5 linked regions of the Rattus norvegicus genome follow. The protein of the gene in region 2 purifies or fractionates together with the protein of the main gene of each other region. This does not show direct contact. Links are inferred from orthologs where the notes say so. Each region holds a gene or a part of one and is shown on either strand. Other genes may lie near its edges.

Region 1 (4,368 bases), on a different chromosome or scaffold from region 2:
AGGGCAGAGAACGGGGAGGAGCCGAGCAGAGCTAACATTCTGAAGAGGGGCAGCGGGGAAGATAACTCACTCCGACTGCTCCCCACACCTCAGAAATTCACCCGAAACAGAAAACTGACCAGGAAAGCCCCACCTGCTGTCACTAGTGAAGGGTGTAGAGGAACGACAGAGCCCATGGACATGCTGGAGAGGACAGAAAGCCACACTCAAGTCTGAGAGGGGAGCTTGGAGGGCAGGCAAGCAGTCCGAGATTCAGCTGTGGACCTGGGCGCCCCTTGTGTGGGCTTGTGTCAGGCGAGTCAGTGCCACAGGAGATCTCATCGCCTGCCCTGCCATGCCCACTAATAGGAAAGCAGAGATCCCTGCCATGCCCACCAATAGGAAAGCAGAGATCCACTGAGTTTATTTTCTCAACGGTTTCTGCAGTGACCATAGTGAAGAACCCACAGCAGCTGGGCCCCAGGGTCACAAGGGATGCTGCGCTGGACATCAAAAGGTGACAGACTGAAATGAGCAGGACTGAGCTGCTGGCTTGGTCTCTCCACACCAGCGGCCTTCTCTGCTGTTTCCCCGGCAGTCCCCGCCCACCCCCGGCAGCAGCTGTGGTTGGTTGGGAAGCTACTGGCTTGCCATTGGCTTCCAGAATCACAGAGACTGTAACAAACCTTACACTAAACACTGTTCAGTCCTGAGTTGGGGGCGAGCCCAGTGAGGAGGGCCGAGTTCATTAGGACTCTCTTCCCTCCTTGTCGTGGCGTCATACGTGGCCTTCGGCCTTCCCTTCTCCCATGGTCTGACTCTCGTGTTTCTTGCCGGCCGCTCCTTCTACTGCCTTCTTGCTCAATGCTTTGCTGGCCTCTTCCTGAGGGGAAAGGAGGAGATGAAATGAATTAACCCCTGCCTTTCGGGATGGTTTGATCAGGTTTATGGCAAGTGTGCATGTGTGCATCGGGTGTGCACACTAGGAAGGAGGGGTGCCGCACTCTGGAGGGGCTTGTACCTCAGGCAGCTGTTGAATAACTAAGCCCTTGTGCTACTGGTAGCTGAAGATGGAGGCCAGACCTGGGACCAGAAGGAGGCTATGGGGCAAGAAGCTGGCCTGTGTTTAGACAGACCCACTGCCAGCGAGGCTCCCGAGGACAGCAGAGTGTGCAGTAAAGGCCACCACAGGGACACCTGTTTCCAATCCAAGCTGGATTCAGCTAGGAAGTATTTCTAGAAAAACAATATGGACGGGCTTAGGGTTTTTTTGAGACAGGGGTTTCTCTGTGTGTTCCTGGCTGTCCTGGAACTTGTTCTGTAGACCAGGCTCGTCTCGAATTCAGACAACTTCCTACCTCTGCCTCTACCTCCCAAGCTCTGGGATCAAGGTGTGTGCCACCACTGCCTGGCTGAATCTATCTTTTTAAAAATAACAACTCAGGGCTGGAGAGACGGCTCAGTGGTTAGAGCACTGGCTGCTCTTCCAGAGGTCCTGAGTTCAAATCCCAGCCACCACATGATGGCTCACAACCATTTGTAATGGGCTCCGATGCCCTCTTCTGGTGTGTCTGAAGACAGCTACAGTGTACACACATAGATAAAATGAATAAATCTTAAAAAAACAAAACAAAACCAACAACAAAACCAAATGAACTTGGTTTGGTTCAGATGCCTGTAACCCTAGAACTCATGAGCCAGAGGCAGGAGGACCTCTGAGATGAAGCTAGCCAGGTCTACAGAGAAACCCTGCTTTAAAAACAAAGCAGAACAAGACGCTGCTCCACCTCAGGGAGTCGGCCTCTCAGCTCTCACAGAGGGGCCGCGGGGCCTCCCAGTCCATGCCTCTGGCCACAGTGGAGTCCCTTCCTAAGTCTTGTCTCTCCCGACCTGGCCCCAGGTTAGTGCCCTCCCGGCCCAGGCAGCGGGCACACCTTGGCATCCTGCTCTGCGAACTTCTTGAACATGTTGGCGTACACCCTGCGGTCCCGCTCGTTGTGTTCCTTCGCCTTCCTCTGGCACACGGAGATCTGCAGTCTCGCTGCCTTGTTCTGAGGGTTCACCTCCAGTACTTTCTCAAAGTCCCCTTTGGCCGACTCGAACTCGTTCATGAGCAGCTGGGCTTCGCCCCTCCTGTACAAGCCTTTCTCGTTGGCGCTGTCCAGTCCAAGGGCCTAGGGACAGACGGTCACAGTTCAGAAGGGATGCCGTGACCCTTGTCGCCTCAGTGCTGAGGCAGTGCACTCACACCAGATAAGCAAGGACACCCAGCAATCAGACAGTGGCCAAACTCACTGGTTTCCAGTATTTAGTATAAAATGTCTCCAGTTCAGTGTCAAAGCCTTGACGTCCAGATGGTGTTGAGAGCTTCTGATTGGAACCGGAGGCACCTCACCAGTGAGTCCTTACTGAACTAGGGGTCACCTATGAGGTATTCTGCCTATCAGATATGTACATTCTGATTCACAACAGTAGCAAAGTTACAGTTACAAACAGGGTCTCACTATATAGACCAGGCTGGCCTCAAATGCAGTGATCCACTCGTCCCTGCCACCTGAGTGCCTGGCCCTAGAGATGTCACCTGTGTTTAAAAGGAATATCTTGTCTCTGGGTCTCTGTCCTGAGTTCGAGGAAGTGAGTGGCTTTGCTCTGCCCTGCCCTTCTGCACCTCCTGCCCATAGGACCAGGGTCAGCCAAACACAAACAGAATCCTTTGAACCAACTACAAGCCAAATTGTTCTCACAATGTGTATGTGTGGATGTATCCGTGTGGATGTAGCTGGATGCCCATCTTTGGTGTCATTCCTCAGAGCTGTCCACCTTTTTTTGAGACAGGGTCTCTAACTAGTCTGGGGTTTACTGAATAGGTTAGGCTGGCCAGCCAGTGAGCCCTGGAGATTTGCCAATCAGCTTTAGCCAACACTGATATTACCGTCTCAGGCAGCCTGGAATTAGAGTGTGAGTGTGTGTGTGTGTGTGTGTGTGTGTGTGTGTGTGTGTGTGTGTGTGTGTGTGTGTGTGTGTGTGTGTGTATGTGTGTGTGTGTGTTGGACCCCTGGAACTCGAGTTACAGACAACCATGAGCCACTGTGTGATTGCTGGCAATGCAAGCAGCACCCCTACCCACTGGGCCACCTCTCTAGCTCCTCATGCGCAGCTTTTACGTGGGTGCAGGGACAGAAGTCAGGTTCTTACGCTTGCGCCATAAGCGCTTCACTCACTGAGCCATTTTCTCCGCCCCTAAAAGTTTAGATGTGCTCATCTCTAGCACTTGTACTTCTAGTGATCTATCCTGTGGGAGCGCCCTAAACGCGTGTGGAGAGAGACACTCAACAGCTTTCTCTTATGACTCTTAGGATTATTATGAACCTTATAATAAAAACAGACATGGACACTCTTCCTGTGAGGGTCAGTGAAGTAAATCCCCACGATTCACAGAATGGTCCTTAAGGGGTTGAGTCTTTTTACACCAAGCACAGTGAGGGAGAGCCACAGAACATACTCAACTGATGTGGAAAGAGTCCTGGTTCTACATGGTAACTATGTCCCACCTTTCTCTAGTTAGTTCTTATAGTACTTTGCATTCTGGGGTTGTGTATTATATAAGTGTGTGCATGCATCTGATGTATCTGTGTATGTGTACACACACACACACACACACACACACACACACACACACACCAGAGGACAGGTGTTTTTTCTTTTACTCTCTATTTTCTTTTGAGGTCTTACAACATATAAAATGTCTTTTTTGCCATTTCACATTTATTTTTTGTTGTTCTTAAAAAATGTACTACTGGGCTAGAGAGATGGCTCAGTGGTTAAGAACACTGGCCACAGGTCCTGAGTTTAATTCCCAGCACCCACATGGTGGCTCACAACCATCTGTAATGGGATCTGATGCCCTCTTTTGGTGGACAGCTACAGTGTTTTCATATACATAAAATAAATCAATAAATCTTTAAAAAAATACATATTATTACGTTGGTGTCTGCACATGTACTGTACGAATGTTATTCCACTTGTCATGCACTTGTGTAGGAGTGTGGAAGAGGCCAGAGTTCTTCTCTTTCCCACGTAGGTCCTAGGAATCAAAGTCATCAGGCTGGGTAGCACGTGCCTTTCCAGTGAGCTATCTTCACAGTACTGTTCTGAGACAGAACCTGTTATCCCAGGGCAGCCTTGAACTCTCACTTTTCTGTCTTTGCCTCCTAAATACCAAGACCATGGCATTGATCCCTGTGGTTCTTTGAATAAGGATGGCCAACAGGCTTATATATCTGAACACTTCATCACCAGGGAATGGAACTGTTTCAAAGAATTAGAAGGACTAGGGATCAGGAAGTGTGGCTTGTTGGAGGAAGTGTGTCACTGGGGGGAGGCTGTGTG
Region 2 (5,943 bases):
GCCTGCTTTGGGGTGTGTGTGTGTGTGTGTGTGTGTGTGTGTGTGTGTGCACCTGGGACAGAGCACCTGGGACAGAGCACCTGAGACAGAGCACCTGGCACTGCCAGCGCCTGCTTTGGGTGTGTGTGTGTGTGTGTGTGTGTGTGTGTTTGTTTTGAGACAGGGCCTCACTATGGAGCCCTGGCTACCGTGGAACTATTTCTGTAGACCAGGCTGGCTTCAAACTCACAAGGATTAGCCTGCCTCTGCCTCCCAGTGGGCACTCAGGTTAAGGGTGTTGCCGCCTCATGCAGCTGTTAAATGAAAAGGATTCTCGATAAGCATTAGTCATTAGTATCTTTACACATGAGCATTTAAACTTAGTCATGTCTTTAAGAATTCATTCTATGTAAGTAAAGACAAATTACGGATGGTGTCACCTCTTCATTTGTCTGCATGAAGCTCTGGGAACTGAGTTCCAAGATCACACATTCGACACACGGAAGTGACCTTAGTCTTACCGGCAAAGCTCAGTGCTACTTCGTAGGAAGAATGACTGATAACCCCTTGCCCTCTAACAGCCAGCACGTTCCCTACTTTCCATCATGCGATCACGGATCCCCTGGACTTGCCAGTCTCTTTCCCATTAGGGCACACCGATGAGGTAATAGCTGCAAAGGATCCTGGGATGTTTCCACGGTGCATTTGCCTCACGACTTTCCAGTCGCAATGAGGGTCTGTGATGCACACCAGAAATTGTGATCCAAATCCAAGAATTAGCAAGTGTCAGTCAGTCAGGATTCCAACCAAGTGCTGTGTGGTTGTGAGAATGAGTGGTTCCTTCCCCTGTTTACCCTCAAGAGGAGCTGCAGGCTGAGGCCCCGGGAGTTGTATCTTTCCCCTCTCTTTGTCTGCTGCAAACAGGAGCCTACCTGAAGTACAAATGGCTTTCGGCTGGGGATGTAGGAGTTGCCTAGGCAGCAAAGACTGTCAAGCCCGCACTGTGTCTGTCAGGAACCTAGGGAATTGGAGTGGGGTCATCTGCTACATTTGAGTATCCCTTAGTTTTTCCTTGGTGCTTCAAAATGGCTTGGGTCGATTGTGAAGAGCTAAAGAGTACCTACAGAGTAACTGGCTATGGTTTAGGACATGTCCTAAACTCTAGCTCCAACCAGAAGAAGCCACGGCAGGGCATATCGTCCGGATAGGAATAGATGCATGTGTTAACGGCATAGCCTCTTTTGATAGATTACCTAATTCCCTTGTGCTTCTGATTCCTCGGTTATAACACAGGAATTAGAGGTGCCAACACCAGAAGTAAAGCATGTAAGTAAGGTAAGGTAAAACAGACCCAGCAGGTAAGAAACCTACCCCGACCTTGACATGTAAGAGGTTTGCAGCAATGACCCTGGTTCTTGGGCCACATTTCTGACTAGGGCTCTTTCAGGCAATTTCTCTGTGATAGCTACAGACTATTCCCTTGCCTGTAGACAAGGGAAAGCCTATGAGGTAGCACGAAGATGCCTGATGCCATCTCGGCTGCATGCGCCTAGAGGCTGGGGACAGAGGCGCGTCCCACAGAAGGCATGCTGCGTCTTCCGATCTTAGGTGTGGGTTAAAGATTGCTTCTATGCACCCAAAGCAGCCCCGAGGCTACCCCAAGATCCGTCCATGAAGACAGCAGAGGACTTCCAGGTCTAAGCAGGCATGTTCCCCAGCCAGCACCACTTCAGCCAGACTCCTCCTGAACTCTAACCCCTACCCCCTCTATCCACCCAAGTCCTGTTTATTTTAACCCCTAAACCTCTTCAGTCTGCCTATTGCTCCCCATCATCACCACCACCAACCAAGCTAGTCTCTCACCTTGACCGCTTAATTTTGAGTCAAGACCTTGGTTTTAGCTGTTTAGGAAGGATTCCCTAGAAGGGTGGCCTCTTGTTTTGGTAAGTTTCCCAAGGGTTGCCCAACACCGGAATCCTAAAATGTAAAAATAGGCCTCTGGAGAGAGAGCACTTCCCCAGGTCTCTCAGGAGGTTGGGTAACTGGCCTGGCAGAAATGAAGACATTCTAAAGAGGTAGTTTTAAACATTGGATGCCAGAGAGATGGGAAATTCCCCAGAAATTTCATGGTGGGAGAGAGGAAAAACTACCAGCCAGAGGGGGAATTTGTCTTCTGGGCCACAGAGCTTGAACACACTCTCAGAAAATCTCACAGGATGACAAAAAAAAAAAAAAAAAAAAAGGACCTGTGGTAGGCTGGACCAGACTGCTTACATGTGCATATCCTTGGCGTTCTATTTGAACTTTAATCTAATGTTAGGATCATGGAGATGGATGTGGGAGGTTTGCTGGATCTGTCTGTCCCTCTTCCCAATGTGACCTCGCCGTGAATGAATCCCTTGTTTTCCACTATTTTAATTGACTTACTGAGGACCCAGCATAGGGCACAGGCTGTGACCCCCAAGTGTGACAATTACACTCACGTGCCCTGAGGTAAGTAAGTGTTCTCCAGCAGAGACATCACAAGCAACGTGTGCCTTTTAGGCATTATTACGAACCAATTACCCAAATTGGGTAAAACAATCTCATACAGTAAACAAGTGAGCTAAGAGAGTCCTGCCAAGAATCGCAGTGTACTTACCGACAGCCCAAACAAAAAAAAATTGGAAGACCAGAAACTTTTAACCTGAACAACTCATGCCAGACACTGAAGGGCTAAAATAATAGGAATAATAAGCAGATCCCAAAGCAAAATCAGTCCAAATCATTCCGCATTATAGGGGCTGCACATTCTCACCCATTAGCCTTAATCATACTAAGGGTGTTTTGTGCAGAACCATACTAGAAAGAAAGAAAGAAAGAAAGAAAGAAAGAAAGAAAGAAAGAAAGAAAGAAAGAAAGAAAGAAAGAGAGAAAGAAAGAGAGAGAGACAGAGAGAGAGACAGAGAGAGAGACAGAGAGAGAGAGAGAGAGAGAGAGAGAGAGAGAGAAAGGAAGGAAAAGAAAGGAAAAAAAGAAGAAAAAACCTTGGAGTTATTAACTACCTAAAAATACTTTAAATAGTTATTTAAAATGTTTTTATTTCTCTCATCTTTTAGCACTGCCTGTATTCTACAACATTTATCCCTATGTAATCTATCACGTGTTAGTCTAAATATTAGTAAATGTATAATTTTAAAATACTTGGAATGACAGCTTACTCCCCCCCCCCCGCCCTTCTAAGTATCAGGGTTATTAAGGTTTTTAAGACTCAGTTTAGCAGCTCACAGGTCCCCTTTGCAGTCCCTTTTCTTACACTCTCATTGGACCACGCCAAGGATAGGAGGGGATCCACCCATCCACACCAGGCCAGGACAGAAGAGGCGCCAAGACAGATCACCCGCCCTCCCCGGTGCCAGAGCCCTACCTGATTGTGCCACCGGATGACGTTTCCAAATCCCCCAGTTCCGAGGCGTTCTTTCATTTCCCAGGCCCCACATGTCTGGGTTGGGAGAGAAGGTGACCAGCTCATATCGATGCCCTCCCTGCTAACTCTAGAAGCAAGTAGGAAGAGAGGACAAGTTGAGAGTAAGAACACTGGAGCTCAAGAAGCAGGGGGAAGCAGCAGCGGCTGCTGCCTTCAAGGGGAGGCTGGGCTAGGAGACCGATTTAGTTAACAAATAAAAGTTGCTGCGGCCCGGCCCGCCGGCGGGTCCGCTCCGCACCGCACCGAGCGCGGTGCAGCCAGGGACCCCGGGGAGAAGCCGAGCGTGCACCCGGGCGAGCCGGTCCACCGGCCACGAGCCACCCTCGCGTGGGACTCACCTGCCCCGGGGGCCGCGGGGCCGCTAGCGACACCCGCTGAGGACATGAAAACTCGGGGTCCCCACGCAGCCAGCTCAGCGCCACTTCCTCAAACACTTCCTGCCCTGACGTCACGGGCACTTGACGGCTCTTAAAGGGGACGCGCGAGCCGCTCGCTGGGACTGAGCCACAGCCAGCCGTGGTGCTGGACCTGGCGGTGCAGGACCTGGCGGCTTGGAGAGTTCTTCACCCTGGCGCTTTTCTGACTGAGCTTGATCCCACTGGCTTAGGCAGTTAATCTGCTAAACCCCCACTAGGGCTGACTTAGGGACTGTCCTAAGAATTGCTTCCCTGTCCTCCCACCATTCGCCATTCGGAGCCCGAACGCTCCTGGTTCAGAAATAAGAATAAGAAACCACCCTTATGCTCCTCATAACACACCACCATCCCCCTCAAGGGGGGAGGGAGGAGAGGGAAGAGTACAAAGATAAAACAAAAGCTAGTGCTGTCTACCTAAACTGGAGTTTCAGCACTGGGAGCATAGGGAAATTACTTGTTATTAGGTCAAGAGCCTGGGTATTGCCACTCCACACCCCTACCAGCCCCCACCCCTGCCTCGAGCAAGCCAGGTTCAGCCACTCACCTTCCATAGCCTAATTCATGATACAAGTAGCGATGAAAGGCGGGTGAAGAAGTTTATTCAATGTGACTACATTGGGAAAAGACAAGAGATCCAATCACTCTCACCCGTACCTCTGCTAAGCCAAGTCCAATTTTGGGGTCCTGCCATGGGGTTTGGGTTTAAATGGAAGGGAAGAGGTATACATAACTAAGTATTTGTGCTCAAGGTATGTTCTGGTCCACCATCATTGATGAGGCTCCAGTCTCTCCTATGAGGTGGCATTTGTCAGAACCGTGTGAAAGCTCTGCCTGAGCCAGGCTCCTCTGCTGTTAGCACAAGGCTTCTGACATTGCTGGCTTTTTAGACAGCGGACAGCAACCAGCGAGGCCAACAGAGTCTTCCACGGATTGAATGATAAGTCCACGGTCTTTGTGGGATAACTAGGGAACTCTGAGAATTTGAACTCAGGAATAGAGCAAATAAAGCACTTCTCACTCTTTTATTGTTAAAGCGAGCAAAACACGAAGTGATGTTGACAGAGAGCTTTCGCAAATACAAGGACAACAAGGGAATACACTTGGTATTATGTCTTATCATCCTTGGACGTGTGAGGAAAAAAGCCAAGAATATTCCTCCCAGAACTTCGCCCCTCCCACAGAGATAACATGGACATACCCTTCGGTCCTCGCTTTCACCGCCATCCACTTTTTATAGGTTATGCAATTATTTCTAGAAGGCCACCTTGTGCGAAGAACATTCTGCACTCTGCCCTGACCACAGTTCTCAGGAAGGTCACAGCTTTCTTTCTTTTTTTTTTCTTTCTTTTTTTTCTTTTTTCTCAGAGCTGAGGACCGAACCCAGGGCCTTGCGCTTCCTAGGCAAGCGCTCTACCACTGAGCTAAATCCCCAACCCCAGGTCACAGCTTTCTTATACAGACTCGCACATGGCCTCAAATGATATTGGGGGGGGGGATTCCAATTTCTCGGAGTCTGTTATACCCACAGTTTAATAGGAAAAAGGAAGAGCTCAAGTGTCTACTTAGAACGCCTCCATTCCTGACAGGAAGATCTCGGTACCTCACTTCCGTTTTGAGGTAAGAGATTCCTCTACCTGAAACAAATATAAGCAGAAGTGGGAACCAAGGGTGCACCGTGTCATCCAAAGAAACAGCTCTCACCTCAAAGGAAAAAAAAATACATAGTTTATTCAGGAGCATAGATAAGAGATCACGGCATGGGAATATACATTTAGTCCCCGGATATAACGTTCCAATGTGGAAGCAGTTTTAAGAAGCTTTATAGTTTTACAGACCCAAGAAAGGAACAAATCAAGGCAGGTTTGAGACACACCAGTGGATACCTCAGAGAGATGATTACAGCAAGATGGGGAAGCTAGGTCATGAATCATCAGATGTTCTCCAATGACCTCAGCTTTTGGGTTGGTGGAAGATATTAGCTCGCTAAGTTAATAGATTTCAAAAGCTGGGGTATTTTTTTTTGTTTGTTTTGTTTTGTTTTGTTTTGTTTTTTTTGGTTCTTTTTTTTTTTTTAATCTCTTA
Region 3 (6,081 bases), on a different chromosome or scaffold from region 2:
AACAGACAGGTTGATCAATGGAATTGGGTTGGAGGCTCAGATGTAAACCCACACACTTATGGACACCCAGTTTTTAATAAAGAATCCAAAATTATTCAACGGAAAAAAGAAAGCACCTTTAGCAAGTGGTGCTGCTCTAAGTGGATATCAGCGTGTAGAAGAACAAAAACAGATCCACATCTACCTCCCTGCACAAAACTCAAGTCCAAGTGCATCAAAGTCCTCAACATAAAACCAGAGACACTGGACAAAGAATGGATAAAGAAAATGTGCTTTATTTACACAATGGAGTATTATTCAGAGTCAAAACAAAACAAAACAAAACAAACAGGAAAAGTCAGATCCAACTAGCCCGGCCCCATAGACACTCATACTCACAGACACTGAACCAACTTAGGCCCTCTGCGTGTGTTACGCTTTTGCAGCTTGGTCTTGTAGGACTCCCAACAGTGGGAACCAGGCCTGTCTTTGATTCTTGCCTGCTTTTGGGACTCTTTCCCTCCTACTGGGTTGAACGGTCCAAACTTAATATGAGGGGAGGTGTCCTTTCTCTCCGTCTGCCACGGAGATGAACTCTAATTCTGGCTCAATCCCTCTGGTGACCCAGCTAGTTTCTCTTCGGCAATTGGTTTTTGTCTCACTGGAATAACTGAGGCAGAACAGTATGGTTGCCTTAAGGACAATGTTGGATTAGAATTCTCAAGTAAGTGGTGATCTTTGACATTCTTGTGGCAAAAACATCTATGCTCTTCACCCAAGGGGTAAGTGAAGGAGGGATCTAGTGTCCCCAAGGTATGTTGTTTAGTAACTGTTTTAGTCTCTCATCTGTGAGAATTTCCAGAACAGGACTGAAAGGGATGGGGTGTCCTTGATGGATTTCCTGCAAAATGACCCTGTACAGTTGGAAGAAGAGCTGGTGTGATGGTTTGGATTGGTTTGGCCCCCACAGATTCATGTGTTTGAATGCTTGGCCATAGGGACAGGCACTGTTAGTGGGTGTGGCCTTGCTGGAGGAAGTGTCACTATGGAGGTGGGCTTTGGGGTCTCATATATGCTCAAGCCACGCCTAGTGACAGTCTCCTGCTGCTTTTGGATCAAGATGTAGAACTCTCAGCTTCTATTTCAGCACTATGTCTGCTGGACTGTTCTGCTTCCCACCCCGATGATAATGGACTGAACCTCTGAAACTGTAAGCCAGCCCCAGTGCAATGTTGTCCTTTATAGGAGTTGCCTTGATCTTGTCGTCTCTTCACAGCAGTAGCAATTGTAAGGCAGTCAGACAATATGATCAAATGCACAGAACAGCTGATTATACCTTTTCCAGACCGAGACCCAGAAGGCTCGTGTGCTGTGTGCTGTCCAGGGTGCTGTTTTGCTCTCCTCTCATTAATCATTTGACCCTGTTCTTTAATTGCTCATCAGCAATAAATAATCATACCTGCTGTGGTGGGGTAGCCCGACTACGAAGTATCTACCACAACTGGCCCATTCGTATGGGTCTTGGATTACAATCTGGTGGCTTTAGCAGACGCATCCCTCACTCGGGAACCCTCCAGGTAGCAGCTGGATTGTGTTGGTGACATACTGGTCTGGTTTAACCAGATTTCACTGGTTTTGTGAAACACTGTTTTGGTGTGGTTTGACAAAATGTCCCCCGTAGGTTTGAGCACTTAGTCCCTTGCTAGTGGCGGTACCTGGGGGGAGGTTGTGAAAGTGAGTCTCTGGGAGCAGCCTTGAGGTTTTTTATAGCCTGACCATACTTCCTGACCAGCCTTTTAACCCCGCCCCCACCCCGCTTCAGACAAGTTGTTACTCTGTAGCCCAGTTTAAATTGTAGTTCATCACACTGCTCACTCTGAACTCCAAGTATTGGGAAGGAAGTTAGTATGTGGTAAAATGGGATTTTAGTCTTTGTATCTACTTGATGTTCTGGACTCCATAATTCTGCCTCAGCACTGTGGAAAAACATGTTACCATGAATTCCTAGAACACGGCTAGGAGCCAGGATTTCTCCAGTGTGTGTACTTCCGAACGCTTCAACTGCAGGCCCGTGTGACCCTAAGAACAGCCTTATAATATGATCTTGGTGGGGAGACGGGTCCATGAGTTCAGTGCTGAGTTCAGACCATGCCACAAAGTAAAATTTCTCTTTCAGCGTCTCCCTTGACCATCTAACTTCACAGTGTGAACCAGGCAGTTCCGTTCTGTCTCCCTTGCTGGTTTTTTGATTCAGTGCGAAATCACTTTCTTCTTGTAGTTGGCTCCTTTGAACTGTGTGTGTGTGTGTGTGTGTGTGTGTGTGTGTGTGTGTGTGTGTGTGTGTGTGTGTGTGTGTGTGTTTCCAGTGTCTCTGGGCTAGCCTGAACTTACCAGTTCTAATCTTCCTGCCCCTACCTCCCTGAGTGCTGACATTTCTAGAGCTGGTTTACCCATCCAGTCACAAGGTATAGGGTTTCTGTATGCAAGGAGGTGGGGTTAGGGTGGGGGGAATGAGGAAGTGTCCTTAAGAACTGGCGGGCGCTCCTAAGGCGGGCAGAGAGAAGCAGCCTATGCCACCTAGTGATTATCAGAAATTAGTCATTTCTGCTCCTTAGTTCTCTCAGTTGCCTTTCTCCTCCCTCTGACCTCCGGTGTTTTATAGTTCCGCTTCTTTGAATCCATAGTAAACTTTGGCGGACTGGCCAGGGAACAGGAAGTGAGCCCGGCTAGCGGCAGCCGGAGGCGGAGAGCGTCTCCCAGGGGTTGCTCGCCCGAGAGGGGAGCTGTGACTGGCGGGGCAGGGACTCGGCGACAGGTGAGTGCTGCAGAGTAGTCCGGTTCGTTCCTCTCCTACCAGCAGGCCGCGATCCCAACGGTGGCAATCTAGCCTGACGCTCCCCGAAATGCGGCCATCGGAGTACGGTCATCGCCTCCTCCAGAAAACTTTATTCGATTTCTTAGGCTAACTTTCTTTGTAGTCCGGCTCAGGACCTAGAGCCAGGTTAATTATCCGGTGGCATCACTGTGTGTTCTCTGACTTGCGTTGGGTTTCCTCCGGCGATTTTCAGGCTCCTCCCAACTCTTAAGAGACGTCCCCCAACCCTAATCCCAAATCCTCTCTCCCTTTCTACTTCTCCAACATCTCCCCTCCCCTGTTCTCTCCCCTTTCTTCTCTTTGCCTTCCCCTTTCCCTTCCTCCTATTCTCTCATTCTCCCCCACCTCCTTCCCCTCCCCTCCCCCTCTCCCTCCCCTCTCCCTGACCCTTTTCCCTCTAAGATCTGGCCTCGAGCTTCTTGAACTTCTGATCTTTCTGCTTCCACCTCAGGAATGCTGGCAGTGCAAGGGGTGGGAGTGACAGGGTACCAGCTCTGCACTTAAAACCACAAAAACAGCAAGGGGGCTGGGGAGAGGGAGAGCTAGAGGTGGCCTGAGGCCAATAATTCCTCTACATGCTAAGCAGTTATAACAGTGACTGTCATTATGTACCAGTGAGGAATTATCATACTGTCATATTTCTATTTCTTACTATTTTTTAAAGGGAGTCCTTTAAGTGCCTTCTGCTTGGCTAGGTCTCAGTTTCATTCTTTAAAATGTATTTATCTCTATTTTAATTTAATGTCTATGAGTGTTTTGCCTGCATGTATGTATGTGCACTTGGTGTCCAGGGGGACCACAGATCTCTCGAACTGGAGCTACAGACAGTTTCAGTCACCATATGGGTGCTGGAAACTGAACCCAGTTGGTCTGCAAGAGCAGTGAGTGCTCTTAAACTCCTGAGCCTTCTCAACACCAAATCTTTCGTTTTTTTAATAAGCATGGTAGTAATCGAATTAGCATTAGGGTGATTAGCACTCCCCTTTCTCACAAATCCTATTTAAGAAGGCCCAAGCACTCATATGTGGACACGGAAGAGCTGCTGTTCATGGCTGTATGCCTCAGTGTCTCTTCCCCAGTGGGGAGGAATGTGACACCTGGGGTCATTTAGGTGTTATTCGGTTTTGCCTGGTCATTTCTGTTGTGGGTTAAGTCCAGGAACTACCAGGCTTTCTCGCACAGCCTGTACAGCAAGCATGGCCACTTCACTCGATCAGGCTGCTTTTTTTTTTTTTTAATCTTTCAACTTAAAATTCTCTAATAAGAAAGTGTGCATCTTCTTGCTTTATTTACCATTCCTCAGATTTAATGTGGCATCCTATGATCTGTGTGGGCTTAGTGCCCATCGGGGAATTCCGCGTTCATACCCATTGCCTCTTTACAGAGTTTCTTTTCATTGATGATTTTCAGGCTGCTGTTGTATGGTTCAGGTGTTACTGTGAAAGCTTCAGTTGCTACCCTCAGGAAGTTTGTGGTCTTGAACAGGAAATTCTCAGAAGTGAGCCGGAACTGGGGCAGAGGTTTCAGAAGATGCTGGAGTAACTCCGGGAGTGGATTGGGGGCACAAACAGGATTTGATTCTGCTGCTCCAATGTTGCCCAGGTTCCTGGCAGAATCAAATGCCAGCTAAAAGTCCTGATATGGTGGTGTCACCTTTGCCCAGACCTTGAGGGTGGACACGTACTTTCAGGTGACTTATTCAGTTCCCTCAGCTGTAAACTTGGGGCCCTTTACTCGGAAAACTTACCTTCTATTTTATTCTGTGTTAGGTAGCAGAAAACACAGTTTCAAAGTTCTTTTCTCTTTCTTCTCTTTAACACCAGACAGTATTTTAACTAATTCCCAGCAAGCAGCTTATGTGTTTGTACACAGGTTTGTTCACATGGTGAAGGGCCCAGTGTTTGCCTCTTTGGTGAGATGGCTGTAGGAAAACCTTTGATTTTAGGTGGGTGTTTTTGGTGTTGTTGTTTGTTTTTATTTTTGTTTCTAATGGCTGTCAGTGGGAACTATGGAACTAGAAGCAGGGAGAACACTTCTGTGTAACAAGAAGAGTCAGCTGTGGAAGTTGCAGACGCTCGAAGCCCAGGACCCCAGGCCCATCAGAGGTGAAGTACACTGGGGGCCTCTTTTTACTAGTTAATAAAAATTTAGAAATTCATCTCTTTTTCTTTTTTTATATTCTAAAAGCGAGTCAAATGAAAGTTTTTCAGTTATATCCATACGATTTTTTTTAAATCCATGTGTTTTGTTTGTTTGTTTCGGTTTTTTTTTTTTTTAAGATTTATTTATTTTATTTACAGATGGTTGTGAGCCACCATGTGGTTGCTGGGAATTGAACTCAGAACCTCTGGAAGAGCAGTCAGTGCTCTTAACCGCTGAGCCATCTCTCCAGCCCCTCATATGATTTTTCTAAATTTCATAGATAATCAGTTGTAATGTCTCCCCTTTTGCCTCGAACTTTATTAATGTGTGTTTTTTTCTCTTTTGGTTAGTTTGTTTGTTTCTTTGTTTTTGTTGTTGTTTTAAATCTTTTCTTAGTAATGAACTCTATTTAATTCTTTGTGAATCTTTTTGTTTTGGTCTGCTTTGTTTTATTCATTTCTGCCCCGATCTTAATTATTTTTCCCATATGTCTTAGTTATTGTTCTGCCGCTATGAGGAGAAATCATGACCAACGCAACTTTTAGAAGAAAGCATTTAGTTGGAAGTTTGCTTACAGTTTCAGAGACGTAGTTCATTATCATCATGGTGGAGAACATGGGGGCTGCAGTGCTGGAGCAGGAGCCGAGCTCACCTCACCCACAAGCTACAGGCCAACAGACAGTGAGAAACTGGGCCTGGCTTGAGCTTCTGAAATGTCACTGACATGGCTTCTCCAGCAAGACCACACCTCCTAATCCTTCTCAAAGAATTCCAGTGAGGGCCGACCTCGTTCAGATCACCGCACCGTCTGTTGCTTGTGGGTTTAGCTTGTTCTCTTGTTTCCAAGGTCTTGAGGTGTTTCGTTGAGTTACTAATTTGAAACCTCTCTGGCTTTTTCCATTTGTTTATTGTGTGTTCGTGTGCATATGTGTGTAGCTATTTGCATACCACAGAGCTTTTGTTCCACCCTGTGGGTTCCGGGCTTTAGAAGCAACACTTTTATCTGCTGAGCTATCTTGCCAGTCCCTCTCGAAGTGTGTGTGTGTGTTTGTTGCAGGTTTTTTAAATGATTTTTTTTAGTCACT
Region 4 (6,089 bases), on a different chromosome or scaffold from region 2:
ATAAACAGTGTCCATTCAACGCAAGCCAAGTTTATTCCCACTCTGAATGCTGTGAAAAGAAGACAGAAAACCTCAAAGGAAGGAAGGTAAAACACAAGGAAACAGTAGCTTATGGGTTTCAATACATTTTAATGAGTACCTAAAAGGTGAAGAAATGACCAAAGAGAAAATCCAGAAGACCTAAGAAGTATATGAAGAACATGTCTGAGGTGATAGCTTTAAAAGGGGTGAAACTATGATAGTCATCTCCCATGAAGTAAAGACTCTTCCTGAGAGCTCTGTCACCCCCAAAGGAAACTGTTCACAGTGGAAGACATGGCCCCAGTGTGCTTCGCTCTGGTTGAAAACCTAAGACATTTAATAGTATTAAGAAGTACAAAAGCACCGCTATTTAGCAGGCCTGGTTTTGGGAATCCTCTTAACACTGTGTCAAAGGTTTTGGATAATTTAGGTGACAAGTTTTCTGTCATTAGGAACATCTAGGTCTACAAGTTGCAGACACTTTATCTTAGAGTTATTCAAGGAATAGACAATAACTCACAAGCAAAGGTAGGGTGCCTATAGTCTTGTCTAGTGGCTTGCGGCAGAATGCTTGGGTATGTGAATCTTCTACACTCTATAGAGGCTTCCTAGAGGACACCAGCATAACAGCACAGCTGATATCAGAGGGGCACATCAAATGATCTTCTCCATCTCAGGCACTGCCAAGGAAGATGACTAGGAGTGGGGCAGCGGCAAAGAGAGGAGGTGGCCCAGATGAAGGAGTGAAGGCTGAGGAGTAAGGAAGGCACTAGAAGCGTGCTAGCAGGAACCATTAAGGGAGTGCAGAGCAAGGATCTTCCTCTGGAGAGTATGAACTCTTAATTCATTTGCCTCGTGACTTTAAGGAACTTACTTAAGCCTCCATTTCCTCATCTGTGAAAGGAAATAACAGCCCATCTTGGGACTGGCAAGGAATTTTATGAGAAAGTAACATGTGAAAATACATTTGCCTGCTTCATAGTTATAGCTACGGTAAGTCCTGTTGTTAGGTTTATAACACCAGGACTCTGAGAATCCACAGTGGGTCTGTGTACACAGGTGCATTTCTAAGTGTACAAAACACTTCAAAAGGAGGTATAATGACAAGGGGTATACCTACAATGGTCATCTCCCATTGAGTAAAGGCTGTCCATGGGGGCTCTGCCATCCCCAAGGAAATGAAGTGGAAAACAGCTCCAGAGTCCTACTTGCTTACATGTTAAATTAGCACTTAAAGACTGAATTGAGACTACCCAGCAGGTCCCTACAGACAATCTATGAGACTGAGAATGGACTAGTGTGGAGACAGAAGGTGTTAATATTACTAGGTGTTCCAGGCCCAATTCCTCCTTTCCTATACATTTTCTGGGGCAAGAAGTCCTGCCCAGTCTTCCTCATCTCAGATATACCCCTCCCTCTCCAGCCACATTCTTTTAAACCCCTAGTCAGGAAGACTAGAAGTTTCTGGTCTGAGTACTCTCATTTCCTGGGTTCCAATCTTAAGTCTTCCTATTATGAGATGTTTACAGAGCTCGCACGTCTCTCCTCAAATAGTTATTTTAAAATCGTTCCTAATGAACTGTACAGAGGCAAAAAACAAAACAAAACCACCACCAACAACAAAACCACCACCACCAACAAAACCAATCAAAACCAAAAAACCTGTTTGTCCTCAGTGCCTGGAAGAGCCAAACACATGGTAAACAATTGTTAAGTGGTAAAAAAATTCTAAAAGAAGAACTATTTAGTTGTTAAATAATAAAGGATATAATAAAACAGATCATAAACTATAAAATGGATTATATGGCAATAAAAAAACAATATAGAGAAAGACACCAAAAATTCACTAACATTGATTTTACATTGTAAGGCAAATTGTTCCTTTCTTCTGTATACTTTTGTTAAGTCAGTGTCTTGTGTGTGCCTAGGCTGGCTTGAGATTTGTGATCCTCTTGCTTCAGTGTTGGAATTACAGCTGTAATTACCATTCCTGGCTCTTTACATTTTTTATTACATTTCCTATAATAAACACAAATTACATTCATAACAAAATTACGTTCTGAAAGAATTACACCTTAACTCAATGGCTGTGTATTCTGAGGATTCGAGTCTGAGACAAAGTTATGCTTAGTGACACAAGCCTTCAAGCCAAATACCAGGAAGGCTGAGGCAGGTGGATCTCTGGGAATTCAAGGCCAGCCTGGTCTTCTATGTAACTGGCTTCAGGATAGTAAGGGCTACACAAAGACACTCTGTCTCGAAAACAATAAACAAACAAACAAAATCATACAGACTTACCCAGATTAAATTAATATTCTACATTAAAAAATATGGGGGTGTACTGACTAAATTTTAAAAACTTAGGAAAACTATGTTTTTAAAAAATAAGTATTATATCCATGTCTATATAATAAGATACATCTGCCAGAATAATATCCAACCAAAGTGTGGGAAGCTATTTTTTTTTTTTTTTTGGTTCTTTTTTTCAGAGCTGGGGACCGAACCCAGGGCCTTGTGCTTCCTAGGCAAGCACTCTACCACTGAGCTAAATCCCCAACCCTGGGAAACTATTTTTGATTCAATTTCCAGATCCTACTGAAGATATTAAGGAGTCACACACTAAGAAGTAATATTACTTCTACAGTGCCCAATTTGTAAGTTGTTACCTTGGACATATTTCTTAATACAATCCTGAAAGCTCAATATCATGTGCAAAATAGCAAAGAAAGAGAAAAATGAAAATTAAAGTTAAGAATTGTTACTACTGTTTTGTCAGTAACACAAACAAAACATCCCGAATTTTACTTAAAATAAGGCTAGTATATTTCTGTATACAATGCAGCTGTGATGGTTCACCTTTCTAACAGGCCTTTCCAGTGGTTACAAAATTACACGACTAAGTCATTCCATCCCAAAGTTCACTCTGCCACTGAGTCTTCATGTGTTAAGAATACCTTTCCGAAGGTCTTTTGTGGCATTTCTTAAAACAGCTTCACAAAATAAAAGAGCAAGGAAATCAAATGATCTGCAAGAGACAATGAATGAGTCACCCTGGACTGCACCATCCAATCTCAGAAGACTCTGTCCAATGTTTAGGTGAGGAGAATGCGGCCTATCTTTTTCACAATTCAGAGAGTGTCTGCAGCAATACAAAAGCAAATGCTACTGAGGACCAGAGAAGCCTTGGATGTTTGATACTAGTCTCTCGTCGAGGTTGTGGATCACTCCTTTTTCAGCTCGCCTCAAAGATAAAGATGAAAGCTACTGACTGCTTTGCAACCTTCTACTGCCCCAAGTACAACAGTAATAGACCCTTTTAAAGAGTTGGTAGGTCCAGGGTTGATAGATTACATTTAGGTAACCTAGTTTGGGCACTAACGCTTCAATAAGCCGTCATCCCTACCAAAATAATAATAATAATAATAATAATAATAATAATAATAATAATAATAAGAGAGATCTGTAACCGTGGTCGCGGCGCAGATGTCCACCTTCTCTGTCGCGACTTGAGCTAAAACTACCTCAAGTGTCCACCCTCCCGCTAGATGACAGCAAGTCCCGCGCTTTCCGATTTCCGGGTACGCTTGAAGTCCCGCCCATCACCCGGTTTCCGGAAACAACGAGCCCCGCCCTCCGGTCCACGCGCAGAAATCGCTCGGCCCCCGCCCCTTCCGGGAATCCAGCTGTTGAGGAAACTAGCGGCGGCCCGGGCCCCGGCTCTGACTTACCTTAGAGGCTTTTCCGCGGCCAAGTACTCCGGCCCAGGTGAGGAAGGACGGGCGGTGGACGTCAGGAGCTGCTCCTCGCTGTGGCTGCCGGGCGGGGATGAACCTGGGCCCTGACTAGGACCGGACGGAGCTAGGTGCTGAAGTGGCGTCCAGCCACGCCCAGGCTCCTCACCGCCTCCCACCGCGTCCACCTCGCTCCTCAGCCGGTTCGCACAGCGGCTGGACTCACGGGAGGTGAGCGGCACCGATACCCGCGCTCCGGAGGCCGCTCTGGGGGCCGCTCCTACGCGTCTAAGGTCTACTGGGGTGGTGCTAGGCTGCGACCGCCCTTGTCTCCGCCTCTGCTCACGCCCCGGGGCGGTGTGCCCGGGCGAGCGCCAGCCTCCCAAGCTGGGCATTGAGCTCTACCGAGAAAGCCAGGTTTGCAGCGCGATGATCCCGGAAATCAGCTAGGAAAATGAATGGTAGTTTTGCTTTGCCTTACAACTAGTTATGAGAGATCCCTTAAAAAAAAAAAAAAAGAGGCGGTCATAACCGCTGTATGTCAGGGCAGAGACCGCTTGGCCGCTTCAAGCACTGCGTGCGACAGTGGCGTTTGCAAGCTTTGTGGGTTCAGCGGTGACAGAACCCCTGGCAAATTATCATTTATCTGTCACGGCAGGCTGTCGAGGAAGAAACGTGATTAATTTGTAGCTCTCTAAAGTGGTAATTGAAATCCCAAGCAAAAAAAAAAAATAAGTGTTACTACAGGTGTCATTAAGAAAGAAGTTGCACGGTAATACAACGATCACTTATTGTCAAAGAAAAAAAAATAGGTCAAGAGAGGGAGAGGATCACAAAAGATACGATTAAGGAGACTTCCTAAACCCTACACACGACCACCACTTTAAGAAACTTAACAGCCATTTTACCAGATACCATGAAAATAAGCATTAAGAAGATGCTCAAGGGGGTTGGGGATTTAGCTCAGTGGTAGAACACTTGTCTAGCAAGCGCAAGGCCCTGGGTTCGGTCCCCAGCTCTGAAAAAAAAAAAAAAGAAGATGCTCAAGGTCCTAGGACACTAGGGGAACTCAAATTTGATGTCAAATACACATAAAAAGCCTCCAAATCCCAAACATTCACAGATGTTAATGAAGACATACAATAACTGAAAATCGCTTATATTCTTGCAAATAATGCAAAACCTTTATGGTTACTATATGATTTAGTAGTTTCACATACAGGTATGTACCCAAATAAACATACATCTACTGTATAAACACATGTACTTAAGTTGGGTTTTTTGTTTGTTTTGAGTTATTTTGGGGGTGGAGTGCGTGTGGTGTGTGTGTGTGTGTGTGTGTGTGTGTGTGTGTGTGTGTAAAACTGCACATAATGTGGAGGCCAGAAGCCCACCTCCAGAAGCTCCTTACAATTCACCTTTTTCTTTTCCATACATTGTCTTACTTTTGACTTTAGCTTGTGGAGTGGACTAAGCAGTCTGCCCAGTAAACTGCAAGAGCGTGTCTGTCTTCAACTCCAGGAATGTCGCCATAGCCAGTTTTTTGTTTGTTTGTTTTTGTTTTTGCAAGGGTGCTGGGGATTGAACTCAGATTCATATGTTGCCATGGCAAGCACTTTTCTGAAACCCTGAGCATTGTTTTTCTTTAATTTTTTTTGTTTTATTTTTGAGTGTGTATATATGAGTGTAGATTCTCCCAGAGGCCACAAAAAGGCATCAGGTCCCCAGAAGTTAGAGTTACAGGTGAGCTGTCTGGTGTGAGTCTAGGAACCACACTTAGGTCCTTTGTAAGATCAGTATGTGCTTTTAACAGCTGACTCATAGTTCCGGCTCCTGTATTTGAAACAGTTAAGTGTTTATTTTCTATGTATGAGTGTTTTGGGTGCATGTTTGTGTACCACTTGCATGCTTGGTGCTTATGGAGGTCAGAGGAGGGCATCAGATCTCCTGGAATTGGAGGTATGGATAGTTGTGAGTCACCACGTGAGTGCTGAGACCCTGGTCCTCTGCAAGAACAACCACTGAGCCATCTCTCCCATTACTGTGTTTGAATTTTTGCAGCAGCTTTTCATAATTGCCAAAACTTGAAAGCAAATGAGTTACCTTTCAAAAGCTCTAGTAAATCTACCACAATGGACTACTACTTGGCATTAAAATGAATTACAGAATTAAAAAAAAAAGAATTTGGTGTGTTTTTATGTATTTCTAAGTAATAACAATCAATCTTAAAAAAAACTATGTTACAATGTATGATTTCAAAGATGACATCTTCAATGAGGGAAAGTTATGAAGATTCTACATAGGCCAGTGGTTGCCATGGGTTTACAAGGAAGGGGG
Region 5 (5,995 bases), on a different chromosome or scaffold from region 2:
TGACTGGCTTTCCCTAAGAACTGCCCTATTACTTTCCCTTGAGGACTTCCTGTATTCAGAAACGAAAATGAAAGCAATACCATGTGAACCCAGGAAAAGCCAAGCAAAGCTGGAGACTGCATGTGTGAGGTTGGTGGGTACCATTGACTGCCTGTTCAATCGCACTCCGAGGGTTTCTCTGTGTAGCCCTGGCTGTCTTGGGACTCCCTCTGTAGATCAGGCTATCCTTGAACTCTTGAACTCAGAGATCTACCTGCCTCTGCCTTCTGAGTGCTGGGATTAAAGGTGTACACCAATATGTTTGCACATATACACCCACACACCCCACTTTTTTTAGACAGGGTCTCACTGTATAGCCCAGGCTGGCCATCACTATTTTTAACACCAAAGAGACCAGGCTGCTGAGGCACTAGGAGGGCATGTCCTCACCTGATGCTCTCTGCATTTGGATTAGGGGCTCAGAAGCTGAGTTTTCAGTCCAGCAATGTGGCTTTGAGGGTAAAGGCATTTTCTGCCAGGCCCTATGATCTGAGTTTAACCTAGAAACATACATAAGGTAGCAAGAGAGAGCCAGTTCCTGCTATTTGTTCTCTGATTTCCACACAAGATCAGTGCATGCATATACACACAAATATATATATATATATATATATATATATATATATATGTATTTTTTTTAGGACTTAAAAAACAAAAACAAAACAAAACAATAGCTTCAATAGCCAGGTGTGGTGGTACACACCTTTAATTACTAAGGCAGGTGGATCTCTCTTAGTTCAAGGCCAGGCCAGTCTACAAATTGAGGTCCAGAACAGACAGGACTGTTACACAGAGAAACTCTGTCTCAAAAAACAAAAGTAAAAGAAAAACAAAAAAAGCCTCAGCTAGAGAAGTCTGCCAAAAAAAATAAAATCTAAGGTGCTGGAGAGATGACTCAGCAGTTGAGCGCACTACTGACTGCTCTTCCTGAGGACCAGAGTTCAAATCCCAGCACCCACGTGGCAGCTCACAACTGTCTGTAACTCCAAGACCTGACCCTTTCACATAGAAAAACATTCAGGCAAAACAATAATGCACACAAAATAAAGGTAAATGAATTTTTAAAAAAAGATTTAAAAACAAAAGTAAAACCAAGTCCTGGGGCTCTGCGTTCCATTCCAGTATCTCTTAAGTATACTGGGAGTCTGTGACTACAGTACTTGGGAGACTGACACAGGAATCAGGAACTTAAAACCATCCTCAGATACACAACCAGATTAGGGCCAGCCTGAGCTACATGAGGCCCTATGGAGAAAAGGAGGAAGAAAAAAAGAAATCTTCCTCCAGCCTTGAATGGCCGCTCCAGTCTCGGAGAGCACTATGCTGGCCCATCCCACTTCTTGTGACAACTGAGCCCAAACCCCAGGTCTTACTCACCTCCCCGAAGTGCATGTAGATATACTCCCGAGCACGCTGGTGCAGTTCCGTGCAGCCGATCTGCTCGGCGAAGTTGGCGATGCCGATGGCGTTGCTGGGGTCCAGCTGCTGCACGAGGAAGTCGCTGCAGGCTCGGACCACGCTGTCAATCTGGTACATGACTGCCCCGTTCATCACATGCAGCACACACTTCTCGCCCACGGAGATGGAGGCCGTGTAGGCGAACTCAATTAGCCTCTCCATGACCTTGGGGTGGATGCCTTCAATGGACACCACCTCCATGCCCTGCTCCCGAAGCCCGTTGGTGAACATAGCTTTAAAGACTGGGCTGGAGGAGGCCAGCACCACTTTGTGGGCCATGAATTGGGCAGCTGGGATGTCCTCATATTTGACCTGCAGGGTCACGTCACAGAGCTGCTGGCTCAGCCGAAGCTCGTTCATGATGCCAAAAGCCTGCTTGGTGTGATCCTCTAGTGTGTAACTGAAGGTTCGGTTACCATCCTGCGAGGGCGTCACCTCCGCCTTGCACTCCGTGGATGCATACATCACCGCGTCCCCTGCCCCCTCCGGGCACTTTGACCACAGGGGCAGGAACTGGCTGCTGCGGGGAGCCCCGCTAGGCTTGGGTTCGGGCTGCATGGGGTTCCTGATGACAAGATACAGTTCCACCACTAGCGATTAGGGGCCTGGAAGGAGGGAAGAGTACAGGGCTGGATTAGGCCAGACCCTGCCACATTTTTTTTTTGTTTGTTTGTTTGTTTCTTGTTTTCTTTTGAGACAGGGTCTTAGCCTAGGCTGGCTTCAAACTCACTATGTAAACAAGGCTGTTTGCTGTTTCCTCCCGTGTACTGGGACTACAGTTTGTGTCACCATATCTAGCCAAGCTTTAATTTTTTTTTTTTTTTTTAGACTAAGCAATGATTTCTAGAGCAGTTTTTGTCAAGCCAAGTGAACTGGACACACCCGGCTCCATTCAAACTGACTTCTTCTCAAATCACCGGCCGTTCCTTTTCCTGCTCAGAATCACCCAATACCTATCCCAGAGCCCAAGAGTGGAAACCCAGCTCCTCAATGGCCTGTAAAACTCCACACCCCCTTCTAGACCTCTTCACTCAGTTCCAGCCATGCTTCCCTTCCCTTCATCCGACATGTCAAATCCCTTTCTTCAACACCTCACCAAAATTTACAGAGCCTGCCATTTATACTTGCAACTGTTCTGAGCTCCAGGGACACAGCAGGAAGACAGAAAAGGCCTGAAAATAAAGCAAGGTCTGTATAGAAAACACTAGGCGAGCACCAAGGCCCTGGGCAGAGTGTGCAGCCTCTGGAACACCCACGGTGAGGGATTCAGGAGACCCTTGGAGACCTGGGGCCAGGACAGGAGTTATGCTTTCAAAGGAGATGTGGGGACACAGAGAGGGCCTGCAGCTGGCTCCCCAGGTTCTGGGGCTCAGCCTGGAGTCGCGTCCCCCAGTGTTATGTCTACTAGGTCACCATGGGGGGGACGACGATGAAATGCTCCAGGGGCCCCAGTAAGTGAGCGACTGTCACGCGTGACCACACTGCCGGAGCTCGGGCCTGGCATTGCGCAGAGGGCTGAGCAGCAGCCACCCGGTACCCGGTGCCTGCTCCAGCGGCCTCCCTAACGCTCGGAGGCGCAGCCCTGACGCCTGGAGAGCCCGCAGGGCCTGGTCCCGGGCCGCGGCCCGGAGCGGCGCACTCACCCCGCCATGGCCGCGCTCTGCCTCCGCCTCCGCCGCGCGGGTCACGGTGACTAAGCACAGCGCACCACCCTGTCACAATAAGAGTCCCGGGGCGCCGGCCGCGGGCGACCCCTACCCTCGACTCGCCTCGGCCACCACCCTACGCGGGTGCACGGGCTGGGCGCGGGTGCGCACTTGGAGGGGTCACGCGCTTCCCCCCACCGCGTGCACGTCCCCACGCGCGACCGCGGGCGGCGCCCGGAGCTGGCTCCCCACCGCATCCTCCGCGGGCGCTCGCTCACCTCCGTCCCACCCCCCCGGGTGTCTCTGTTGGTGCCACGCGTCCAATCCGCACCGCCGGGCCGCCACGCGCCGCGCTTCCGGGAGGAGCCGAGGGCAGCCAGGGGGCCTCGGATCGGGGCAGCGGTGCTGCGGGGTCCCGGGCGGCACGCGTGGGAGGAGCGGGAGGGCGGAAACAGGCGGCGGGCACGCAGAGGCGGTTCCAGCCCTTCCTGCAGGTGCCGGGCGGAGGGAGCAGGGCGTGGGTCAGGGCGGCCCTAGGAGCCTGCCTCCGGGTTAGGCTGTCCAGTACGCCTCTAGCTGAACCTGCCCCAGCGGACCCTCCCACACCCTACCCGGCCCAGCCAGACCTATGTACCTGGTTGAGATACAGATCTTCCTTTAAAATAACTTTTTAATGGTTTCTATTTCAATTCGCATTTTACTTTATGTGTGTGGGTGTTTTGCCTGCGTGTATGTCTGTGCCCCGTGGGCGTGCAGTGCCCCCTAAAGTTACAGGTTATCCACCCTGTGGAGAGGGGGAATTGAACTCTGGTCTTCTGCAAGAGCAACAGGTACTCTTAACTGCTGAGCCAGCACCCCAGCCTTATAACTTCTTTTTTGAGAATGGCCTCATTACATAGCCCTGGCTGGCCTCTGCCTCTCGCTCTGCCTCCTGCGTGCCGGGGTGAGGGGGAGTGGGGGGGTGGGGGTTTAAAGGCTGTGACACCACGCAGGGCTTTGTGTACATTAATTTATTTGTGTGTATGCTTGTGTGTAGAGGTCGGGGGATGACTGGCAGAAACTGATTCTCTTCCCCTATGTGGAGCCTGCAAGGTGCAACAGCAGCCCACTTTCCTCTCTCCTCTCTCTGTAGTCATTTTTTCATGAGGAGAGGTGTGGCATTCATCTGAGGGTGTTGGAGAGTTGGAATGCCCAGAATTGCCTTTCTTTGCATTTCTCATTATATATATATATATATATATATATATATATGATAAGAGATTCTTATTTGCTACAAAGGCATTTATGAGAGAAAATTATTTTCTTGACCTATAAGATTTGGCCAATTCTGGCAACTAAGTTCCATCCCTGTTTCTCACGTGGTAGTAAAAAACTTACTCCTCCAAGTTGTCCTCCAACCTCCACATGCACACATAAATTAATTTTGGAAAATAAAGTTATTATTGGTGCTGGAGAGATGGCTCAGTGATTACAGCACTGACAGCTCTTTCAGAGGACCCAGGTTCAATTCCCGGAACTGGTATTAGGGTCAAAATGAACGCCTATAACTCCAGTTACAGGGGATCCCATACCCTTTTCTGGCTTCCACAAGCACCACAACCATGAAGACAAAACACCCATACACATAAAATAAAGATAAATAAAAAAATTTAATATTATTTGACTGACTGGTGCAGACAAGATGTCATTTTTAGCCCAGGCTAGCTTTGAACTCTGTCTCCTGTCTCCATCTCTCCAATGGGATTACAAATGTGTATTCTGGGTTTTTTCTTTCAATTTATTTTTAATTTCATGTTCATTGCTGTTTTGCCTGCATGTATGTCTGTATAAGGTGCATACTGGATCCCTTGGAACGGGAGTTACAGATGGTTGTGAACTGCCATGTGGGTTCTGGGAATTGAACCCAGGTCCTCTGGGAGAGCAGCCAGTGCTCTTAACTGCTGGGCTATCTCTCCAGCCCCAGTTTTACTCATATATGTTTGAGGCTGGATTTCACTTTGTAGCCCAGACTGGCCTTGAGCACACAGTAATTCTCTTGCCTCAGTCTCCCAAGTGCTGGCATTTTTAATATAGACGCCACACTTTGCTATATAATTTTAAGTAATTATTTTATATATTTATCATCTGAATAAAGGAATGTCCGGTGGAAATGATGTTGATCCGTGTGGGAAGTTCCTGGAGACACCACATGAACTCGACCTTTCCTATGTTCAATAAAACTGCAATTCCAGCCTTCTCCAAAGGTGGCGTCTCACCACACTCAGCTATGATGTAGGTGTTGGGATTCCTGCCCTGGTGCCTAAGACCACAATTTCTGTCTCTCAAAGTCAAGCCTCCAGGCCCCATGAGCTGGCTGTGGAGATTTATCAAGGCTCATTCACACAGGTACAGCCATGATTATATAACAGTTTAACTGTCAAAGGACTCGCCCAACTCCTACATTTTTTTTGTAGGCTTCTGACTCAATAGCTGGTGGTATTGCTGTAGTGTGAAATACTATCCAGCCAGTTAAAAGAAGCAAGATGGAGCTGGACCTGGAGATGAAGGCATGAAAATTTAGCTACTCTGGAAGTAGCTGAAGCAGAAGAATGACTGGTTGGATAACAATGAGACCTTGTGTGTGATGGTTTGTGTGTGTGGTGTGTGTGGTGCCCAAGGAGTGGCACTATCAGGAGGTGTGGCCATGTTGGAGTATGTATGTCTCTCTGGGTGTGGGCTTAAGACCCTCACCCAACTGCCTGGAAGTCAGTCTTCCACTAGCAGCCTTCAGAGAAAGATGTAGAACTCTCAGCTCCTCCTGCACCATGCCTGTCTGGATGCTGCCATGCTCCCGCCTTGATGACACTGAACTG

Evidence for each region.
Region 1: the proteins of Ikbkb (region 2) and Fkbp5 purify together in Homo sapiens (affinity purification with mass spectrometry; 3 studies listed by BioGRID and IntAct, with this or other methods). This does not show direct contact. The link is inferred for Rattus norvegicus from reciprocal best matches to the Homo sapiens genes IKBKB and FKBP5.
Region 3: the proteins of Ikbkb (region 2) and Casp8 purify together in Homo sapiens (affinity purification with western blotting; 3 studies listed by BioGRID and IntAct, with this or other methods). This does not show direct contact. The link is inferred for Rattus norvegicus from reciprocal best matches to the Homo sapiens genes IKBKB and CASP8.
Region 4: the proteins of Ikbkb (region 2) and Ripk1 fractionate together in Homo sapiens (co-fractionation; 3 studies listed by BioGRID, with this or other methods). This does not show direct contact. The link is inferred for Rattus norvegicus from reciprocal best matches to the Homo sapiens genes IKBKB and RIPK1.
Region 5: the proteins of Ikbkb (region 2) and Keap1 purify together in Homo sapiens (affinity purification with western blotting; 7 studies listed by BioGRID and IntAct, with this or other methods). This does not show direct contact. The link is inferred for Rattus norvegicus from reciprocal best matches to the Homo sapiens genes IKBKB and KEAP1.

The regions. Positions count from the first base shown.
Region 1 is NC_086038.1:6,460,173-6,464,540, forward strand, and holds part of Fkbp5 (peptidyl-prolyl cis-trans isomerase FKBP5), read right to left. Parts: intron 2,154-4,368; coding exon 1,914-2,153; intron 863-1,913; coding exon 758-862; 3' UTR 1-757. UniProt on the Homo sapiens protein: Immunophilin protein with PPIase and co-chaperone activities. Component of unligated steroid receptors heterocomplexes through interaction with heat-shock protein 90 (HSP90).
Region 2 is NC_086034.1:76,019,954-76,025,896, reverse strand, and holds the start of Ikbkb (inhibitor of nuclear factor kappa-B kinase subunit beta), read right to left. Parts: upstream 3,867-5,943; 5' UTR 3,784-3,866; intron 3,513-3,783; 5' UTR 3,491-3,512; coding exon 3,386-3,490; intron 1-3,385.
Region 3 is NC_086027.1:67,755,516-67,761,596, forward strand, and holds the start of Casp8 (caspase-8), read left to right. Parts: upstream 1-2,505; 5' UTR 2,506-2,794; intron 2,795-6,081. UniProt on the Homo sapiens protein: Thiol protease that plays a key role in programmed cell death by acting as a molecular switch for apoptosis, necroptosis and pyroptosis, and is required to prevent tissue damage during embryonic development and adulthood.
Region 4 is NC_086035.1:31,073,117-31,079,205, forward strand, and holds the start of Ripk1 (receptor-interacting serine/threonine-protein kinase 1), read right to left. Parts: upstream 4,052-6,089; 5' UTR 3,750-4,051; exon of another isoform or gene 3,695-3,749; intron 3,047-3,694; exon of another isoform or gene 2,878-3,046; intron 50-2,877; exon of another isoform or gene 1-49. UniProt on the Homo sapiens protein: Serine-threonine kinase which is a key regulator of TNF-mediated apoptosis, necroptosis and inflammatory pathways.
Region 5 is NC_086026.1:28,050,346-28,056,340, forward strand, and holds the start of Keap1 (kelch-like ECH-associated protein 1), read right to left. Parts: upstream 3,698-5,995; 5' UTR 3,422-3,697; intron 3,281-3,421; exon of another isoform or gene 3,141-3,280; intron 2,103-3,140; 5' UTR 2,056-2,102; coding exon 1,417-2,055; intron 1-1,416. UniProt on the Homo sapiens protein: Substrate-specific adapter of a BCR (BTB-CUL3-RBX1) E3 ubiquitin ligase complex that regulates the response to oxidative stress by targeting NFE2L2/NRF2 for ubiquitination.